Linked DNA regions of Schizosaccharomyces pombe. Changing the gene in region 1 together with any one later gene gives a genetic interaction. Each region holds a gene or a part of one and is shown on either strand. Other genes may lie near its edges.

The links.
Region 2: of hsp3102 (region 1) and glo1, extra expression of one rescues a mutant of the other (dosage rescue), as found in Schizosaccharomyces pombe (one study listed by BioGRID).

The regions. Positions count from the first base shown.
Region 1 is NC_003424.3:147,526-151,082, forward strand, and holds hsp3102 (glyoxylase III Hsp3102), read right to left. Parts: upstream 1,411-3,557; coding exon 688-1,410; 3' UTR 513-687; downstream 1-512. Other genes in the region: dgc1 (D-glutamate cyclase ), read left to right, coding at 1-354. UniProt on the Schizosaccharomyces pombe protein: Catalyzes the conversion of methylglyoxal (MG) to D-lactate in a single glutathione (GSH)-independent step. May play a role in detoxifying endogenously produced glyoxals. Involved in protection against reactive oxygen species (ROS).
Region 2 is NC_003423.3:2,444,457-2,448,215, reverse strand, and holds glo1 (glyoxalase I glo1), read right to left. Parts: upstream 1,660-3,759; 5' UTR 1,519-1,659; coding exon 610-1,518; 3' UTR 359-609; downstream 1-358. Other genes in the region: vacuolar amino acid transmembrane transporter Fnx1, read right to left, coding at 2,292-3,759. UniProt on the Schizosaccharomyces pombe protein: Catalyzes the conversion of hemimercaptal, formed from methylglyoxal and glutathione, to S-lactoylglutathione.

The DNA of each region.
Region 1 (3,557 bases):
ATTACAAATATCCCTCTTTGCGCATCTGGCGTTTTTACTGGTACTTTTGTAGTCTCCATGCGTCCATACCCTGAAAAGGACCTTGAAAGAATCAGAAAAATTACTTCTGCTTATACGAACTGCCATGGAGAACCTGTTGCATGGGGTTGGGATGGTGCTAAGAAAATTGGAGTCAAAGACTGTGGAAAACCTGACTTTGGCGTGCCTGTCGAATTCAAAGAAGGTGAAATCCCTATTTTCTGGGGCTGTGGTGTTACTCCACAAAACGTAGTAATGATGAGTAAACTACCTGAGCCCGTTTACTCTCATAAACCTGGCTACATGTATTTGACTGATTTAACCCATAATTGTTAATAGAATATACCAGCTCTTTCTTTTTGTCATTTACGAGCGCTAACTGTTACATTAAGCGATCATTTGCAGCAGCAGCAAATTATATAGTTACCAATGAATATTTATCTACCATAATTGAGACGGCATTCAATCTCAACAATACTTGGTCATGAATAATCGCAAAAGTTGTAGTACTAAATTTATAATATTTATAAAACAGTATCGCAAATTAGCAATGCTTCACTTGAGCATAAGCATCACTTTTAATGAACAGCAGATCTGCGAAAAAATTATCTTCCAATGTTTTTCTTTTTATTTATTTCGTATAACTCATAACAACAAACAACATAATTTTTATAATGCGCTAACGGCGGCTTCAGCAGTCGATTTTGCGCTCTGCGGATTTACCCCTGTTACAATTTTTCCATCGATCTGAGTAAAGTTGACATTGGGGTTTGGTGGATCAATGAAAGTTGCCCCTGCTTCAGCAAATATTTCATTTAAGGATTTCATCCCTCGTTTTTTCAATTCATCCATAACACCCATTTTTTCCTCTCCAGCCTTATTAAAAGCTGTAACATGCTTATGATACACGACTGTTTTGCCTTCAACTGATTGTGGATTCTTTACATTGGCAAGCAAAACAGGGCCATGACAGACTGCCGATAAAACACCACCATTTGTAAACACTTCTCTTGCTACCGCCTGTAAATTCGTGGCTTTGGGTAAGTCAAACATCGCAGCATGCCCACCTGCCACAAATAAAAGCTGATAGTCTTTTCCAACTATGTCCGAAGCCTTTTTCATATTGTTAAGATTAGTCCAAAAATCGTCGTTTTTATCATTAAATACTTTTCTTTCAAAGTCCCCTAATTTTGACTCCTCAATGGAATGATCGTCAAATTTGTAAGAGCCATTTTCTGAAACGAATTGCACGTTAAAACCTGCTTTTTTGAAAACATTGTAAGGGATTAAAAGCTCTGAAAAATGGACTCCAGTGTTTTTACCATCTGGATAAAATGGGCCATAATAACTGCTGGCAACAAGCAATGCATTTTTTCCTTTTGCAATAGACATTAGGGAAAGATAGTCTGTAGAAATAGATGAAAGCCAAGCAAACAAACAAATAATAGAATAAAAATGATCGATATTATTGATATAAAATCAATTCAACGTTTCGTAGATGTAAAGATATATATATATATATACACTATTCAATCTTTAAATCAACACAAAAAATCATGCTCCTACCATATTACAAAATATGAAGTCATGAAATTCGAAGCTGTTCTAGGGTCGATTGTTGTTGCATTCAATAGATGTCATTCTATATCATATAGCAATTTCTACTATGTAAAGATTCCTGCTGTACGGAAGAACCTTAAGTACTTTTCTAGATGACAACAAGGACTAATGAGGTTTTTACACACTTGTGTAACAAAAAACGAGGCTTTAAATATATTGTATAAAAAACTACTTTCTAATCGGTTAAAACCATGACTAGACCCTTGATAGACTATGTAACGTCACTAGGAGGCTAATAAATTTGACAGTGTTTTGTTTGCGTTTGTAGCTAGTTCATTAACTCTATTATAAGGATTTCGGGTAAAACATTCCTTTACTGAAAATGACTTAGCAAAAGATATGTAGTTTTAAATATCCATAATTGAAATCAATTCATGACTATTGTATACCATTTGCCTGATGGTGTTCAATGATCCAACACTTAAAACAGGCTCTGCTGGTAGACAATATAAAATACATTTTAAGTATTTATAGAGCTATTTACTGATCCAAATGTCTACGGCCATACCTAGGCGAAAACACCAGTTCCCGTCCGATCACTGCAGTTAAGCGTCTGAGGGCCTCGTTAGTACTATGGTTGGAGACAACATGGGAATCCGGGGTGCTGTAGGCTCCTTCTTTTTTGATTTTATATCATTTTTTTGTGAACTGGTTGTTTAATTAGCAAAACTTCAATAGAAGCATTGTTCTAAAGTTGTTGAAGCAGTAAATTATTACGCAAACCTAATGAATAAAGCTAGGAAAGGTGACCCCGTCTTTGAGGTTTACATCAGGTTAACAGACAGACGAGATTTCTCGGGTTTTCGTTTCTACGTTGCTGAGAATACAGAAAAAGATCTAGTAGTGTCTAATAGTAAATTACAAAAAGGTTCAATACAGATAAGAAATTTGTTTCCTTGCAAACATTGGATTATCAATATAATTAGAAGGAATTGATGAACGTTTTAACTGCGTTTTGCTGAAGCTCATTTAACCTTTTTTTTCATGAAACGGCCAAGCTTGTTAGTATGCTCTCACGCACAGAACGCATTTACAAGTATTTTAATCATCCTGCATTTAACGGCATGTCAAAACAGAAAATGCTAAAGAACGATACCTTCTCGTTCGGTAAATAATGTTTCTGTAAAGAAGTAATAATAGAAGTGCGTAAGTGTTTACCTAATTTACCGACTTTGACCATGTGTACTACCTACTACTAGTATTGCGCTATCAGATCTAAACTAGAGCTCCACTCGGCTTGTCCATGAACCCGGCAAAATTTACATTATTTTTTAGCCGTTGATGTTTATAATCCTTTTCTAGTAAATGGCTAACTATCAATTTGATATTTTTATTAGATATTCTTTACATCATTTTGCACTAGCAGCCCAGAGGATATCGATAATAAAGATGTATTACTATACTATATTATGCTTATGCGATATCGCAATACTGAGGCTTTGAGTTTTGGATGAAACTGGCATAATGCAGGTGATTGGTATATATATTGATATTATATAAAATATGTACCAAATTTACATATGCATATATTGATGTGTACGTTGTAGCAAAATGCGCCGAAGGTTTCATCTCCATTTGCTATATTCCATCTAAACTTGCCTAGTATTTTACTTGGCTTTAAGAGTGAAATTTGACTTTTTGAGTTGTTTTGTTTTTGGCTTTTTTTTCATTGCCTGCGGAAAGGACACGTTTTACTATTCTAATTAAGACACAACTTTTTAAATGTCCATTTGAATTAAGCGTTAAGATTATTTATTTAAAATTCAAATATGTTGATTTTCCCAGGTTCATACTTCTACATATTTTTATGGCAGCGTCTATAGAAAAAAATGCATTAACTCTACTAACCAATATCACTAGCGTGAGCATGCACTTCTATAACGGAATTCACCCTTCATCTCGTTATTTTGACATCGGCA
Region 2 (3,759 bases), on another chromosome or scaffold:
TTATCTCTTGGAAACTAATGATGGTCATTTAACGAAAACAATGCTGCATAATTGGGAGTTCTCATATTGAATATCAATTCATGATTATGCTCTTTTAAGTTGATTTTGAATGTGGAAGTTTTGTAACTATATCGTAATAATTTCTGTGCTTCTATTAAATTACGTTTCTGCAACTGCAAATGGAATATTTGAAAACTTATTCTAATATTCCTATATTGCTACTTCATCATGAAGTTGTTGCTATAAAAATTACTCTAGTTTGAGGGAGGGAACCCAAATCGTGGTTTCTTCCTATAGAATGAGTGTACAATTACAATAGTGATGTACTAAACGTAATTTCCTACAAAAAAATGAGTAAGTTCTCTTCTTTTACTTTGTTATTTTATTACCCGTTACAAAGATATTAGGGTTGATTCTATTTCAATTCCTGTCCGAACTGAAGGTAATGGATATCGAAAATCACTAAATGAAAAAAAGGAGAATATAGATACTTAAATTTCATAGCGAAAATAATATATTTCTACCTCAAAAAAAAAACATGTACTAAAAATTCTCCCCACACCACTTTCAAACATAATCAACGTTTCTAAAAAGACAAGGCGTCACTGTTTACTTCTGTTCAATGACCTCAACCCAGTAATTATCAGGGTCCAGTAAGAAAGCAATATCCTTCATTCTGCCATCGGTCAATTTCTTCTTGAATGGTAGCCCCTCAGCTTCAAATTTAGAGCAAGCTGCATTAATATTGTCAACGGAAATACAAACATGACCATAACCCTTTTCATCGCCGTCATTGCCATTATGGTAAACGGGTCCTGACTCCTTTTCAGTACCCCAGTTATGAGTCAATTCAAGTAATCCCTCACGATCATGTCTGGGCAAGTCGCTAGGATAGGCCAAGAAATAATTGGTGAACTTACCATTGGGATGATCCGCTTTGTCAATTACCTTCATTCCAAGTTTCTCATAAAAGGCGATACTAGGTTCGGGATCCTTAACACGGACCATTGTATGATTAAAACGAAAGTTAGAAATATTAGCTTTGGGCTTAGTTTCAGATTGAGAAACAAGCTCAATCCAGTAATTGTCAGGATCCAAGGCAAAAGCGATGTGTTTCATCTTACCATCGGAAAGCTTTTTCTTAAAAGAAACCCCCTTGGATTCCAAATATGCGCAAGCAGATTCAATGTTATCAACAGTAAAGCAGATGTGTCCAAATCCTCTCTTAGGCTCGGTATTACCATTGATATAAACAGGGCCTTCCTTCTTCTCAGTGCCAAAGTTATAAGTCAGTTCCAATATACCTTCACGCTTACTACGTTCCACTCCGTGATTTAGAGCTCCAGGTCCATCGAAAGCTAAAAACGACAAAGAGAATTCATTTTCCTCGAAAACCCATTGATCAATGAGTTTCATACCAAACACCTCGGTATAAAATTTGAGACTCTTGTCGAGGTCTTTCACACGAATCATAGTGTGATTTAGTTTGTAAGTACTCATGTCAGTAGTAGAAGCCATATTCGTAAAGAAGATACCCGTTAAGTTGTAAATTTATATATATAAACTTATAGCAACGTTGTTGACGAGGATGAATCAAAAAACTGAATATAAACAGCAAAAAGATTGATGTGTATTGAAGCAGAAACACAAAGAAATTTCAAGTTTAAAAAATTACCGAAGTAAGTTTATATCAATGATGTGGAAGATGCTAACCAGTAGATTTCTAAAGAATTGATGTCATGTACGAGTCCATTGGCTTTCGTTATAGAACTTATAGATTTATATCACAATATCGTTATTAAGATTTACGTGCTAATGGGGTATGTGATAATAATGAATCTTCAAATTGCTAAGTATATAGCTTTCATTGTAAATAAAGAAGAAATTAGTATACAAAGAGAATATCAGCGTTCTGATTAGTCAATTTTACATTAAAATATTATGAAGAGAAATAATTTAATTAAAAAGAGAGAAACAAACCTATCTGTAGCTAAACAATCGTTTGTAATCCAATCTGTTATCATAATTAAGTCTCAAAGTGTGCTCTCTCTGATGCTAGTGTAAAGAAGGATACACAACTTCCTCAAAGCAAAAAATAAAATAAAATAAAATATTTAGCGAATCCGTTTAAATATGATAGTGGTGGAACCTGAAGAACAATATGACTCATCACCATCATGGAACTCAAAAGTATATAACATAAACTTGTAAATAAAATCTAAATGTAAACAAAAATCTGATATGACTTATCTACCAATATGTAGAAAATCAGAATCCCCTTAGGATATAATTTATGAACGATCAACAGAGGTATGTAAATAAAACTGTTTGATCCTCAGCGAGCACCAGAATCCAGCAAAAGCTATAATTGCAACTAAGGCAAAAGTCCATGTGAAAGCAGTGGCATACGACTTTATGACTAGCTTTTGGATATCTTTGGGGAGATTTGGAATGATGCTTATACTTTCTCGAAGACGTCGAATCAAATCATCTTTATCCGGATCGTCCTTTAAGTTGGAGGCTAACTGCTTCATAAGGATTGAAAGAGTTGTTGTTTGGGAAAGACTGATACCAATGACGCTACCTGTTGCACGGAAAAGATAGGAAAGGCCTGTAGCAACAGCTTGTTCTTCTGGGGCTAAAGAACTGATAATAGCAATAAGGGTAGAAGTTAGGTTCATTCCATAAGAACATCCGGTCATTGCCAAACAGAGAGAAATTAATATTAAGGGTGTTCTGTGACCGAAAGAAGTAAGAACAGCAAAGGAAACAATACCCATCAACATGAAAAAAAATCCAGCAATAACCAAATTTCTATACCTGCCAGTTTTCTTCATGTATAAGCCTGAACAAAGAGATCCAACAGATGTGGAGATAACGTAAGGAAAGATACGAACACCGGCCTCAGACGATGGCATTAATAGCGTCGTTTCGAAAAATAAGGGTAATTCGTAGACAATGACAAAACTGCAAAACGCATTGAAAAAGTTACCCAAACAGACATTCAAGGGAGTAGGCTGAGATAGGATCTCCACAGGCGCAATTGGTTCAACAGCAATATTCTTTTCGACCCAGTAAAATGCGAACAAAATAAGGACAGAAGATACAAGCAAAGTAATGATAACTGGAGAAACCCAAGGAAATGCGTCCCCGCCCATGTTAAAGGTAACTACCAGTGCCGTAATGCCCGTTACAAGAAGAAAACTGCCTAAGTAATCAATGCGTGAAAGCAACGATGCATTGGAATTTCGAACGGTAGGTTTAACGCGGACACGCCAAGCAACTAGTATGGTGGATAATATTCCCATAGGGACTTGAAAATGAAACGCTGTTCTCCAACCCCATCTTTGAGCAATTAACCCACCCAATGGTCCTCCCAAACTACCTCCGATACCCCAAACAATGTTAGTTATACCTTGCCAGGTACCACGTTCACGCAATGAAACGATGTCACTCGAAATGATGGAAGACATGGTACCAAGACCTCCACCGCCAATGCCGGCGAGAGCGCGAGCCATACACAATTCCGGAAGACTTCTCGATATACCACACCAAAAAGTTCCAAGCGTGAAAGCAGCATTTGCAAATACAACGGTAGGGCGTCGTCCAAAGATGTCACTAAGTCTACCATATAAAGGTTGGAAAGCGGTGTTTGTAATTAAATAGGCGGTAACAATGTAGGAAGCATTATTCATTAACTTGAATTCACTACCAATTACAGGGTATAAACTTGCAACAATTGTCATATCCAAAGCAGAC